Linked DNA regions of Sus scrofa. The main gene of each other region encodes a partner of the protein of the gene in region 2 in a complex. Links are inferred from orthologs where the notes say so. Each region holds a gene or a part of one and is shown on either strand. Other genes may lie near its edges.

What was found. The genes of interacting proteins can lie anywhere in the genome.
Region 1: POLE3 (region 2) and CHRAC1 share a complex: the UniProt entries of both Homo sapiens proteins name them as parts of the CHRAC ISWI chromatin remodeling complex. The link is inferred for Sus scrofa from reciprocal best matches to the Homo sapiens genes POLE3 and CHRAC1.
Region 3: POLE3 (region 2) and POLE4 share a complex: the UniProt entries of both Homo sapiens proteins name them as parts of the DNA polymerase epsilon complex. The link is inferred for Sus scrofa from reciprocal best matches to the Homo sapiens genes POLE3 and POLE4.

Annotation. Positions count from the first base shown.
Region 1 is NC_010446.5:3,025,522-3,030,029, reverse strand, and holds the start of CHRAC1 (chromatin accessibility complex protein 1), read left to right. Parts: upstream 1-1,221; 5' UTR 1,222-1,323; coding exon 1,324-1,470; intron 1,471-1,808; exon of another isoform or gene 1,809-1,961; intron 1,962-2,750; coding exon 2,751-2,877; intron 2,878-3,445; coding exon 3,446-3,564; 3' UTR 3,565-4,508. UniProt on the Homo sapiens protein: Forms a complex with DNA polymerase epsilon subunit POLE3 and binds naked DNA, which is then incorporated into chromatin, aided by the nucleosome remodeling activity of ISWI/SNF2H and ACF1.
Region 2 is NC_010443.5:254,033,143-254,037,963, reverse strand, and holds POLE3 (DNA polymerase epsilon subunit 3), read left to right. Parts: upstream 1-1,739; 5' UTR 1,740-2,059; coding exon 2,060-2,125; intron 2,126-2,225; coding exon 2,226-2,311; intron 2,312-2,670; coding exon 2,671-2,789; intron 2,790-3,059; coding exon 3,060-3,232; 3' UTR 3,233-4,586; downstream 4,587-4,821. UniProt on the Homo sapiens protein: Accessory component of the DNA polymerase epsilon complex. Participates in DNA repair and in chromosomal DNA replication.
Region 3 is NC_010445.4:68,114,022-68,118,882, reverse strand, and holds the start of POLE4 (DNA polymerase epsilon subunit 4), read left to right. Parts: upstream 1-1,574; 5' UTR 1,575-1,630; coding exon 1,631-1,849; intron 1,850-2,449; coding exon 2,450-2,534; intron 2,535-3,199; coding exon 3,200-3,241; intron 3,242-4,861. UniProt on the Homo sapiens protein: Accessory component of the DNA polymerase epsilon complex. Participates in DNA repair and in chromosomal DNA replication.

The DNA of each region.
Region 1 (4,508 bases), on a different chromosome or scaffold from region 2:
TCTGCCTGCTTCCGCTCCTGCCCCTGGACGATCTATTCACACACAGCAACTTGAGGATTCCTTGTAAAACTGAAGGGGGACCCCCTTACTCCCCCCAACCCTTTTGGAAGGAATTCTGTGATCTACAAAGCCCTATCTCATCTGGCCCATGGCTACTTCCTATCATCCGTTCCCTAGCTCACTTCACCCCAGCCACACCTGCATCCCATTTCATCACCTGCCATCACCTTCTACTCTGCAATTTCTTTGCTTCCACCCTTTCAACCTCCCCATCCTCACCACTCCCCTCCGGTCTATTCTCCATCAATAGCCAGGGGGATTTTTAATAAAATTTAAGACGGGAGGTCCCGACGCGGCTCAGCTGAAACGAATCTGACTAGCACCCAAAAGGACGCGGGTTCCAGCCCTGGCCTGGCTCAGTGAGTTAAGGATCCCATGTTGCTGTGGTGCAGGCCGGCAGCTACAGCTCCGATTTGACCCCTAGCCTGGGAACTTCCATATGCCCCAGGTGAGGTCCTAAAAAGACAAACAAAAGCCCCCCCCCAACTTAAGAGACATATCCCCTCATCCCTCTGATCTCTTTCAGCACTTCCCATTTTCCTTATTATTATTTTGTTTTTTAGGGCCACACCCGCGGGGCGTATGGAGGTTCCCAAGCTAGGGGTCCAATCGGAACCGTAGCCGCCAGCCTACACCACAGCCACAGCAATGCAGGATCCGAGCCGCGTCTGCGACCTACACCACAGCTCACGGCAACGCCGGGTCCTTAACCGAGTGAGGCCAGGGATTAAACCCTCAACCTCCCGGTTCCTAGTCGGATTTGCTTCCGCTGCGCCACGACGGGAACCCCCATTTTCCTTCTTCTACAATCCAATAGGACCCGGCCCCAGGCCGCCTCTCCGCCTTCATCCCGCACACCCCGGGCGCAGAGCGCGCCTCCCGAGCTTTCCGGAAAGGCTCCTCCCTCCGCGCCGTTGCTGCTGCTCCTCTTCCCAGCAAAGCGCCTTCTCATCAACAGGGCCGTCCGCGCTCCTCACTGCCCAGCCCCCTCCCTTCCCCCCGCGGTTCCCAGTCCTCTCCTGCCTACACGGTATCTGCCTCGACCTTCAGGGAGACGCCTCCCCGGCCCCCGCCCCCGGCCCAGCCGCCCTTCCTTCCGCCTCGTCCGCGCGCGGCATCACGGGGCTTGTAGTCCGCGCCCGGGGCCGCGCCTCCCGACACTACAACTCCCACGGGGCAGCGGGACGCCGCTCCCGCACCAACCGAGCGGGCCGGCCACCTCGCGGCGGGTCGGGGCTGCCGCCGCGGGGGCGGGGCGCAGAGATGGCGGACGGGGTCGCGGGCAAGGACAAGTGCGGGGAGCCTCGGCTGGTGTCGCTGCCCCTGTCCCGCATCCGGGTCATCATGAAGAGCTCCCCCGAGGTGTCCAGCATCAACCAGGAGGCGCTGGTGCTCACGGCCAAGGCCACGGTGAGGCGGACCGCGCGGGGAGGAGTGAGAAGCGGAGGGCGACAGTGGGGGCCGCCCGGGACCGTTGCGTCCCGCCCCGCCCTCCGAGCCCGGCCGAGTCCCGCCGCGCTGCCCAGTACCCCTCGGCCCGCGCGCCGCCCGCTCCCCTGCGCGCGCCCGCGCGCTCTCCTGGGCGCGGCCTCGCTGCCTTCCGCCGCGCGCTCCCCAGCTCCCGCGCGCCCTTCGCCCCGCCCCCGGGCGTCAATCCCGTCTTACCCCGCGCGCCCTCGCCCCGCCCACTCCGTTCCCGGCCTCCCCCGCGCGCCCAGCGCCCCGCCCACCCCCCCTCCTTCGGCGTCTCCTCCTCCCGAGTTGTCGGCCCCCAACCCCAATCCCTCCCCTCTTGTCGCTTCCGGCCGCTTCCGCTTTCGTGGCTTTGGGCTCCACCCCTCGGACGGTTGAGCGAACGGGCCCGCGCCTTCCTCCCAGTCTTCGGGGCCGCACGTCCCCAGGTCAGAATTAGCCTTTCCAGGGCCGTGGTTTTACAGCCGGAGGTGCTAGCCCCTCCCCGGTCTTTTGATTTGGCGCGTGGTGGGCGTTCTTGCCCAGGGCCAGGTTTCAGCTGCACGGTTTCCCTCGCTTTCACGTTCCCTAGAGTGGCTTCCGGCCCCTGCTGGTTGCGCCCAGTGTCCGGTGTCCCTACGGTCAGGGTGAGGGCGGTGGGAGGTCACGTGGTCTTGGGATAGTTGTGCTTTCGGGTCCAGCTTCGTTCTGTAGGTGTTAAGGAATTGAGGAGTTTCGCAAGCACTTCTTCCATCCCTTACTAACGGAACTAGGTGGATTTAAAATAGAAATTCCCAGAGGCTCAGCCCAGGGCTCAGTCTGGGCAGAAAGGGAAGCTGATCGTTTTTTTACCTTTAGGTTGTTGACCGTAACGGTTGTAGGCGGACAGCCTGGAAACACTGTGTTCAAACGGAAGTGTGTTCCTCAGCCACACCGAATTTTTGAATGGTCTCTTGCCCTTTTTAACTCCAGAGGTTCGTCATTAAATATGACTCATTGTTGAATCACTTTTGATTATTTTTCATAAGTTATAAATCTAAAGTAAACTTTAGGGAGACGCCTGCTTCCCTGACAACTTAATTCAGCCTTTGTTTCCTTTCTGACCGCGTAGTCCTTTCTCGCGTGATTTTCTGTAATTTGGGAAACCGAGATAATCTGCAGTCATCGAAATGAGTGTAATTAAAAATGAAGGTCTGTAAGTTTTCAAAGCACACCTTTCGTTTTTCATTTTGTTTTAGGAACTCTTTGTTCAGTATCTAGCCACCTATTCCTACCGACATGGCAGTGGAAGAGAAAAGAAAGCTCTCACTTACAGTGATTTATCAAACACTGCAGAAGAGTCGGAAACTTTTCAGTTTCTTGCAGGTATTTAGACTTTCAAACATTCTGCTTAAAAAAAATGCTTAGCAATTTACGCTTTTTTCTCTGCTCTTTTTTCTTCTTGCGCTGAAATAGACACTTGGCTGTTTTCTCTAGGTGCCAGAGTTTCCCACGACCTGGCATGAGTCTTAGTTTTGGCCGTTTGAGTATGTTTGTAATGTGATTCACCTGGACCAAGAAGCCAGCACTCTCCCTACAGGGTGTTTGTTGGCTGGGGCGTGGCAGCCCTTCCCTGACGCCTCCTTAATTGGTCCAGGAAACAGAAACTCAGAGTTGTTGTGCAGCAGTAGCTGTGGGTCACAGCTAACAAGAGCTCACGGGGATCCTTGGGGCAGCCACCCTGTGCGGGCTGGGTTGAGCCGTGGGCACCAGCACCCAGAAGCACGCGGTTTGCTTCAGTGGAAGGGAGGCAGGTTTGCAGGGCTAGTTTCCTGCTGTTTACCCAGAATTGTCGTCTGAACTTTGTTTTGTCTTGGAACCTGTTTAGAGGTCAAAGCAGGAACTGGGACATTTTGAAATTTACATTACTGATGCTAGCTTTATGTTTTTTAAGACATATTACCAAAGAAGATTTTAGCTAGTAAATATCTGAAAATGCTTAAAGAGAAGAGGGGAGAAGAGGAGGAGAATGACGACGACGACGATGAGAGTGATGATGAAGCGGAATCCTAAGCCAAAAAGAAATGCGTTAGTGACCGGCCGGGGAGCACGGCTCCGGGATGAACACCTTTGCTCTGAGCAAGCGTCTGCTCACTCTCGAGACACCCCAGGGACACCACGTTCCTTCCTGGCTGAGATGGGGCGTGAGGTGCCTCTGCTGTAAATAGCCCAAAGCAGAGCGTCTCTTTCCCAGGCCCACGCTGCAACCGGAGTGGGGGTCCAAACAAGGGGCTTCGAGCTGGGGTCACAGCCAGTCTGCAGCTCTAAGCCGTTGAGGCCAAGGCAGCTTTGCTTAGCTTTGTAGCTTACAGATAGATTTTGAAGAACTTCTAAATATCAGTTGTATAAATTCACATGTGTATATTTTGAAATTAGTTTTTGTAAACAGCCAGATCCGGTTTTAGCTAAAATACGTGGTCTATGGGTAGTATGTTACATCTGAATTTTTGTATTTCAAGAAAATTTGTTTGGCATTGTATTTGTTCAAATATTGCATTTTTTTAAACTGTAAAGAAATAACTTTTTAAATTAAAAGCTAGACTTTTTACAGTAAAGTGTTTTATGGAACTAGTTTTATTAAAACCCTTTATTATTCTAATGCCTTGGTTATTCTGAGACATTTGTGAAATATAAAAATAAGCACTTTCTCTTACATTTATTCCTGAAGAAAAATTTTAAGCGAAATTATTAAGTCAGATACAATAAGAAATAGTACTTCTGCATAGTGTATTTTTCTTTCCTTTTTTTTTTTTTTTTTGTCATTTTAGGGCCACACCTGAAGCATGCGGAAGTTCCCAGGCTAGGGGTCAAATCAGAGCTGCAGCTGCCAGCCTACACCACAGCCACAGCAACTCGGGATCCAGCCTCATCTTCAACCTACACCACAGCTCATGGCAATGCCAGATCCTTAACCCACTGAGCAAGACCAGGGATCGAACCTGCATCCTCATGGACAC
Region 2 (4,821 bases):
CCCTAGCCTGGGAATCTCCATATGCCTCTGGTGTCATCCTAAAAAAAAAAGAAAGGAGTTCCCGTCGTGGCGCAGTGGTTAACGAATCCGACTAGGAACCATGAGGTTGCGGGTTCGGTCCCTGCCCTTGCTCAGTGGGTTAACGATCCGGCGTTGCCGTGAGCTGTGGTGTAGGTTGCAGACTCGGCTCGGATCCTGCGTTGCTGTGGCTCTGGCGTAGGCCGGTGGCTACAGCTCCGATTCAACCCCTAGCCTGGGAACCTCCATATGCCGCGGGAGCGGCCCAAGAAATAGCAACAACAACAACAACAAAAAGACAAAAGACAAAAAAAAAAAAAAAAGAAATGTTTAGACAATCACTACCACCTATCTGCAATAAACTTTTAAGTGTCTATTTCCTCTTTCTTTTACTCAACACATTTATTGACCACCAAATATGGGAAGGGACCTGTTATGGGCATAGAGAACAATAATGACCAAAAAAAGTCCCAGTTCTAAAGAGTTTATAATATAAGCCAAAGATAGCAAACTACTGGCCTGGGATTGCACCTGGCATATAACTTGTTTTGTATGGCCTGCACTTTGAGCCATTATTTAAAGATGGAAATAGCCCATAATGTTCAGATTTCTGGGTTCTCTCAAAGGGGGGTCCAATTCCAACTAGACAGCCACTGGCTGGAGCTGTGTACCTCCTGACATCTTTAAACCATGTGTATTCTAGTCAAGTGGAGCCCTCCCCCACCAAACCCCATATTCTCTAAGAGAAGAGTTTCAGTTGCCATTTATCACTGCATTTGCTGTTGTTTTTCTCATAATAGGGAAATAGTTCTCTGTACTCATGTTTCTATCAAAAACAGGAAAACTAAGCATGACCTGAGGCAGCAGGTTTCAAGGAAAACAACTGTTCAGTGGGAGTGAGGAGAGTTTCTACTACGTAATATGAAAATGATACAACTTAAAAAGCCAATGCAGTATTTCTCTTGTGGCGCAGAGTGTTAAGGGTACCTCCCACCTGAGTCACTGCTGTGGTGCAGGTTCCATCCCTGGCCTGAGAACTTCCATATGCAGTGGTCGCCCCACCGCTCCCTCGGGGGGGGGGGGGGGGACCATTGTAAAACCATGCTGATGCTTTTGACTAGGAAAGATGAACGATGATCAAGTCAATGAACTAAAACATAAATACAAGTTTAACAGGGTTTGTTTTTGAATGCGAATGTTATTCTTAAAACCGGCTGCTTATGGACCTTTTGTTACCTGACCAGCTCGAAGTGAACCCCAAGGTCTAATCATGCCCATCTTTTTGTTGCCAGCCCTACACTGTACTGACAAAGTAGTCTGCATTAAAAATTTTAGGTTAACACTTATCCTTAATACCATTATTACAAAGTTGAGAGCGGTGAAAAGATTTAAGAGGGGATATCAGGGCCTGGAGAGTTCAATAAAGATTCCCTGCTTCCAGAAGAGGGAAGTGGGAGAATCCGGCCAAGGAGGGCCGCGCTTCCGCGGAGCCAAAGCAGAGGCCAAGCGGCTAGGAAGCCGAAGCCTACAAGGAAGACGCTGCTCCTCAACCCGCGGTGAAGACAGCAGCGGGGCCAAGCGCCAGGTCCCGCCTCTCTTCCGAAGGGACCCGCCCCGCCGGCTCAGTCCACGCCTTCGTCTCCCAAGCCAGCCTCCGACAGCACCGTTGCCAGGCAGCGGCGCAGAGCACTATGGGAAAGGGACGGAAGCCCCAGAAGGCCATACTTAATTTGCTAAGCAAGTTCCAGACGAGGTGGTGGCGTGAAGCAGGGAAGCGAGCTTGGGAAGGGGCGCCAGGTGCCGTTGTGGCCTGATAGAAACCCCTAGGGCTAAAACTAGCGGCGTGGAAAGTTCAGATGAACAGACGACTGCAGTCGGAGGCGGGGCTGGGGGAGGAGGGAGGATATGGCGCGCGGGGCACTGTGGGACACGGTGTGGGCAAAACGGGGCGGAACGGAAGCCTCGTTGGGTCAGACGGTGGCGACGCGGGAAGTCCGGACGCTGTAGCGGCCTGAAGAGGAGGCCGGCTCCGGCCGTGGCAATGGCGGAGAGGCCCGAGGACCTAAACCTGCCCAATGCCGTCATCACCAGGATCATCAAGGAGGCGGTGAGCATCTCCGGCTGGCGGATGGGCCAGGGGCGGACGAGCAGGCAAGGGTAAAGAGGTCCTGGGGCAGTAGCTTTGCTCACCCCCTCTCTTGTCACAGCTCCCGGAAGGTGTCAACATCTCCAAGGAGGCCCGGAGCGCCATCTCCCGCGCCGCCAGCGTCTTCGTGTTGTACGCCACATCCTGGTGAGGCGGGCAGAGCTAACCAGAGCTTAGCTGGGGGCTGAGGCTTAAGGGAGACGCAGACACCCCCCCCACCCCTGGTTCGGAGTTCGCGGCCTAGAACCCGCAAACCCCAATAATTATGATCTTCCCCAGTGGAGGGAGGTTCAGAGTCTTCATCCAGGTATTGCAAGCTGTGGAACAAAATAAAACAGAGTAACTTTGCCTTACCCTTTTGTACAGGGAAGGGAGGGACTTACTGTGTCACCAAAATCCATGTATCTTAGACTTGGGCATTTCCATTCCACCTCTGGGTCGTCCTTTTCCCACTCACTGCATACGGGCCAAGAAGGATTCTGACAGCCCTTAATCTTCTTGTTCAGCGCCAACAACTTCGCGATGAAAGGGAAACGCAAGACGCTGAATGCCAGCGATGTTCTCTCAGCCATGGAGGAGATGGAGTTTCAGCGGTTCGTTACTCCCTTAAAAGAAGCTCTGGAAGGTAACGACCTCTTCGTTTACTCAACCAAGTAGATGTTCATCCTGTATGACCTGCTCACTTGGCCCTAAGTCTTCATTAGCTTGAGTCCCTTTAGGTCCAGTAAGCAAGTATTGGGTGAGATTCAAATGGCACTACCTCATATCAGTTTTGTGATGCTGGGCAGGTTATTTTTCCTTCTGTGCCTCAGTGTTTCCAGTTATGCAGTGGTATTAGTGGCTGCAGTCTGTTTGGTTCAGCCTTGTCTCCCAACTCCCTCCTTCATCCTTACAGCTTATAGAAGGGAGCAGAAAGGTAAGAAGGAAGCTTCAGAGCAAAAGAAGAAGGACAAAGACAAAAAAACAGATTCAGAAGAGCAAGACAAGAGCAGGGATGAGGACAACGACGAAGATGAGGAAAGGCTGGAGGAAGAAGAACAGAATGAAGAGGAGGACGTGGACAACTGAAGAGGATGGGGAGACTGGCGCCTTGGAAGGTACAGCTCTGAAACGTTTGTGTGCAGCTTTTTCCTGCTGGACAGAGTAGTCTTGGGCAGAAGAGCCTGAGAAGATGGAAGTAAAAACTGATTAAAATTATCATCAAAACCAGCGTGTCCCAGATTCAGAGCATCTGAGTAGCAGAATCTTGTTTTGCTTCATGAGCCTGAAGGTTATGACTTTTTGGCAGGAGGGATTATGAACAGCCAATTGGTCACTGGGAGCATTTTTGTTTACTTACGTACATAGTTAGGCAGTTGTTGATCCCCAGGTCCCACCCATTCACCCACGGCTCAAAAAAGTAACAAAGCTTCCATGCCACCTACTGCGTTCCAAATCACAGAAGCAGTCAAGACTCAGGAAAACCTGGGGCTTTGCTTATAGACAGCCTATTTGTACAGTATTTGGCAATACTAGCTTCTTACAAGTGATCAGAATGACTTAGCTTTAGGAAACCACTAAAGGGTGTAGAACAGTGAAATCTGTTCTTTTGTCTCTTCACTTGACAGTAACATTAACTGAATTTTGGTTTTTACAGACCCACTTGGCTTAGAGCCCTTCTCTATTGCCAGTAGGCATGTAACCCGCTTGGGTGGCTACCTTCTGGGCACCAAATGCATTTACATCAGCAGTGTAGAGTAGAATTAGTCAAGCAAGATTGCCAATGTGTCTTACAACAGATGGTGTAGTCTTGAATGCACCTCACTGCCTGCCATTGTACAGCTTTAGGGTATGTGGTCACCTCCTGGAAGGTATAAAACTCCAGGCTTTCTCTTGTAGTCCCGCTCCCGGATTTGTGGTATGGCTTTTCATTCTTCTAATTCCTGATGAATTCCAAACTTTCTTTCTTCTAGGTACAACGTTCTTGCTCTGTGCTTCTCTCCTGTCTCTGTTCTGCCTCTCCTCTGCTCCCCATTCCCACTTTCTGTCCCTCCTTTTTTCACTTCTGCCAGGAACTTTGATGACCTGCTTAATATCTCAAACTATGGGTTCCTCTGATTCCCTAGTTCTAATCTCATGTCTTTTAAAAATGATTTTGTAGACCTCTCTGAACGTTAAGGGAAATCCGATGGTGCTCAGGAATCCAATTCCTCCCCCAAGCCATCCCTTCTAAAGTATCTCTGTTAACCTTATTTTCTTTCCATTTGGCGCTTCAAGCACTTTTTGTCTCTAAGTTGAGTGCTTGGAGGTTGACAGGTAGTGAAATATAGTTTGATGCTGTTCATTTGTTAAACGAATCCAGTGAAAAGTTTGTCAAGAAATGAGTGAAGGATATTGAGAAAATTATAATGCCTTGTATAAATAAAAAACATTCTTGTAAAAAGTGACGTCTCCTATTTCATCCTACTTGTTTATAAGTGTGCTTTTGGGGAGGACCCACTGATCATGCGCTGCAGTTTTTAGAGTGTAGACGAGGACAGACCCTTATAAATATGAGGTCCTGGAGTTCCCGTTGTGGTTCAGTGGTTAACCATGAGGTTGCAGGTTCAATCCCTGGTGTCGATCAGTGGGTTAAGGATCCAGCATTGCCGTGAGTTATGGTGTAGGTTGAAGACACG
Region 3 (4,861 bases), on a different chromosome or scaffold from region 2:
CGCCTTCCCAGAGTGGACCCCCACTCGTGCCCTCCACCTGCTTTTTTATCTACAGAGAAACTTTAGTCAAAGAATCAATTTAATCAGAGAAAGAAAATACAGAGAAAAAGGACAACAGTCAAGCAAGACAGAATAATAGTTTAGCCATTCAACAAAGTCAAAGACCTTTTAATGAATTGTCCTGCAAGGACTATAGATAATATTCTGAGCCATGTCCTTGGAGCTGTTTTGCAGGTGCTGAAGCCCCTACCAGGTGGAAGACTTCGACTGTATGCAGCCCACAAGAATATAGACCCCAGTCTGGTTGGAACCAGAAGGTTAATGACACTGACTCTTAATTATCTCACCACCCACTCATCAAGAAAATGCCCAGGAGCTGATCACGCCCTGCTCCTCAAACACTGTAAGACTCCTCACTACACCCTCCAAGGGAGTACAGGGGGGTCACAGTCCTTGAGTCACTAGCCTGCTGTGTTCCCTCTTTGACTGGCAATTAAAGCTACTTTCTCTGTTTCCTCCAACTCTACACCTTTCTGTTTGGCATTGTGTACAGAGGCAGCTGATATTTCCGGCAACAGTAAGGAGAAGGTGTCCAATAATCACCTTGGTGAGTAGGCAAGTAAGCAGAGCACGGTGACTGCTGGCTGCCTTGATTCTCACTTGAGACTAATGTCAAGACTCCTCTCCAATAAGAGCTTGGTGGGATGGGTGCTTTCTCATGTTCCTTCCGTCCTTGGGCTTTCCACACCAGCCCTGGGAGCCTATGTGTGATTCCTCTATTTTTTAGACTTCTCCTTACTCACTCATAGTCAATCCTGTTAGAGTAACTTTTTTTTTTTTTTTTTGTCTTTATGGGGCCGCACCTGTGGCATATGGAGGTTCCCAGGCTGGGGGTGGAATCAGAGCTATAGCCGCTGACCTACACCAGAGTCACAGCAACACCAGATCTGAGCCGTGTCTGCGACCCACACCACAGCTCATGGCAACGCTGGATCCTTAACTCACTGAGCAAGGCCAGGGATTGAACCTGTGTGTCCTCATGGGTGCTAGTCAGGTTTGTTTCTGCTGTGCCACGACGGGAACTCTTATAGTTTAACTTTTATGTTAAACTTTCTATTCAAATTACTTTCCCTGTTCAAACTCTGTGTAGTTTCCTTTTCCTAATTGGACTGTGATGCAGATGAGGTTTCGTCATGGGAAAGAGGGAAGAATTGTTGAAGCGATGCCCATCATTTACTTCTTTCCCCGCCTACATTTTTATTTCTCCTACTTTACTGTCTCCTCCAGGAGCATATACATTTGTCCAAGTTTCTCCTATATATTTCTATTACTGCTGTTTACTTTTACAATCAAGTTCTCAAAAGAGAGCTCAACTAGGTAGGACATCGCGTGAGATGCAAAGCAAACTGCAAAATCGGACCACCAGACCTCAGAAGCGCTGTGAGGGATAGAAAAGATTAAACGCCAGCCCTCCGCCTCTCTCACGGGATACTCCGCCACGCTGGCCGGTTGGGGGGGGGGCGGAGTCACGAGCCATCAGGGGGCGTGGCTGCCAGTGCGCGCGGGAAAGGGGCCGGCACCGCCTGCGCGCGCACAGTCGGCGGCCGCGCGCAGCACGCCCGGGGCCCGGATGGCGGCCGCGGTGGCGGCGGCAGCTGGAAGTGGGCCTGCCCGGGAAGAGGACAGCTCAGCTGGGGAGGCGGCGGCCCCGCAGCCCCAAGCCCCGACAAGTACGCCTGGGGCTCGTCTCTCGAGGCTACCTCTGGCGCGAGTGAAGGCCTTGGTGAAGGCGGACCCCGACGTGACGCTCGCGGGACAGGAAGCCATCTTCATCCTGGCACGAGCCGCGGTGCGGCGGGGAGCGCCTGGGTCACCTAGTGGGGCGGGGCGGGGCCTCGGGGGCCTTTCGGAAGGGCGGAGCTTAGCTGTATTTGGGGCCAAATTTGAGATGTGAGCGTGGGCAGTAAGAAGGCCATCTGGGGCAGGTTGTGCTGAGGCCCGAGAGGTTAGAGGGGTGCTGGGGCCGGATACTGAGTTGTGAGTATCGGGAGGGAAGACAGAGAAAGGGTCACATGCAGTACTTGTATTGGTTTCGTAGGACCTACCTCTTCCGCGACTTTGATTTGTGTCTCTAGTCTAACTTTATAACTTGTTTCAAGTAAGTGAGTGGGGTGAATCTTCAGAGTGAGGGAGGGACAGACGTGTCTGGACTACAGCAGGAGAGGGGAGGGGAATAGACTTTTATGAAGTCCAGGAGAAATTTCAGCTTCCCTGAGAACCTCCCCGTGCATCTGTGCCCTCTTCCACCCTTGGCCCCCACTCAAACAGGAACAAGCATTTGCACTAGAACTCGTGGATACAACTTTGCTTATTTTCTTTTTTCTTTTCTTTTAATTTTGGTTTGTTTATTACAATTTTTACTTTTTTCCCCTTCTGCTTTTCTTAATAGGAACTGTTTGTGGAGACCATTGCAAAGGATGCCTACTGCTGTGCTCAACAGGGAAAGAGGAAAACCCTTCAGAGGAGAGATTTGGGTAGACTGTCACTTTGGTGTCTTGCATCTGTGGGTACACAAGGGAGGGCTGGGCGAGACTCTCCTTACACTAGTTGAGAAGGCATCACTTTAAGATGAGGGACACCACAGGTCTCTTCCTATGATGTTTTCTGTTGAACTGTCACTGTGCCAGAAGATCGTGCCTCTCGAATGTCTGTTTTGGTTGGCTGGAGTGGTGTTGGGACAGAGAACCAAAAGGAGCCTGGATGTTGCCAAAGCTAACTAGACCCCTTTATTCCTTCTGCTATATTGTACCAGGCTTGTCGTTTTTTTTTTTTTTTTTTTTCCACCTAGAAAGGATAGGTTTGATTTCTGACTCTACTTTTTTCTACTCTAGAATGTGTGTAAATTTTCGTATACCACAATCTCACTTTCCTTGCTCTATAGCCAGACTCTCTTCTCTGATGACTTTCAGAGGAAAGAGGTTCCCCCCAGGGAACAGTATTTACCTAGGCTGTAGAGAGACAGCTGATACGTAGTATTTGGTGGTGGAGAAGATGTAGATCTCAAGATAGCAAGGGACAAATTTTATAAATGCTTATTTGCATAAAGCCTCAGGCCCTTCATTGTGTGTGTTGTGCTCTTGTAAGAGGTTTGATGCCTGTGTCCACAGTTAATCAGGTGTCCCTTTACCTTGTGTTTCAGATAATGCAATAGAAGCTGTGGACGAATTTGCTTTCCTGGAAGGTGAGTTCTCTATCAGGGGGTAGTCCTTTCCACTTGCCTTCTTTCCTTCCTCCTTCCTTCCCTCCTTAATCTCCTTCCCTCTTTATCCCCTTCCCTTCTTTCCTTCCTTTCTTCTTCTTCTTCTTCTTTTCTTTTTTTTAATGGCCACAGCCATGGCATATGGAAGGGATATGGGATTGAATCCAAGCCTCAGCTGTGACCTGCACTGCAGCTGCAGCAAAGCAGGATGCTTTAACCCACTACACCAGACCCAGGGATCTAACCAGCACCTGGGCAGCAACCAGAGCTGATGCAGATTCGTAACTCACTCTGCCACAGCAGGAACGCCTCCACTTGTCTTTCTCATGCTAAAATCTGAGTTCAAAACCTTATGAAATTGATGCCTGGTTCTTCCTTGTTCATGTAGGAGTAATTCTATTTCCTGTTAAGATAGGAAACACAAATTACAATTCAAATTCCTTTGGGTAATTAGAACTTTATGAAAACTGCTAACCATGAACAGTGGGAGGGACTGGAAAGACCCCAGTGGAGTTGGGGGATTTTCAGAAGTTTGTTTCTGACTTTGAGCCCCATCTCTAGATATAAATCTTACCCCTTATCATAATGCTAGAGATCAGAAACAATTGCCAACGTTTAAAGGGTTACCTCTTGTTCTTTTTTCTTCTTCAACAATCTCTCTAAAGTGATGATTTTGCCGCAGTGAGATTCTCTACTGGCCTGTATCTGTTTGTTCTTAAGAATCTTGGATTAACTCATGTGTACTAATTAAATCTTGTCATTGAAATAGAAAATATCTGAAATACCTCATTTTAACTCTCTTTACCTAGAGCTCTCTTCCTGCTGCCCCTAAATCTGATCAGTTTACTCTTCCCTGCATATAGATTGATTGAATAGTTTTGGAAAAGCCATGTACCTTTAGTTTCTCACTTTTAACGACCAGGGTTCTGTTTACCTCCTCAAAGCCTTAATACCTTCACATATCTTTTCTTGAATTTTTTTTTTTAAAGGCTGCACCTGAGGCATATGGAAGTTGCTGGGCTAGGAGTCAAATTAGAGCTGCAGCTGCCCTCGTATGCCACAACCACAGCAACACTGGATCTGAGCTGTGACTGGGACCTACACCACAGCTCACCACAATTGCCAGATCCTTAACCCACTGAGCAAGGCCAGGGACTGAAGCTGCATCCTTGTGGATACTAGTCAGGTTCTTAACCTGCTGAGCCACAGCAGGAACTCATCTTTCCTTGAAGTATTTATTTCACTATTTTTACTCCTTGGTTCTGCATCTATAATCAACTGAGGTCTCTGGCCCTTTTGAGATATTCTTTTAAATGCCTTTTAAGGTACATTCCCATGGTTAGCATTAAGCTTAGATTATTGATTATTCTCTTAATTTGTAGATTTTCTTTTTAAAGCCTCTTTTATGCTTAACTAATTTTTTTTTGGAAATAACTTATTAGCTCCCTACCTAAGGTAGGCAATGTCTTGTGACTGACAGCCTGTCAGTTCCTCAATCAAAAATGTTTGGAGCTTATTCTACCTGTTTATATTTTAATTTTAATTTTTTTTTTTTTGGCTACACCTTTGCCATATGGAAGTTCCCAGGCCAGGGATGAAATC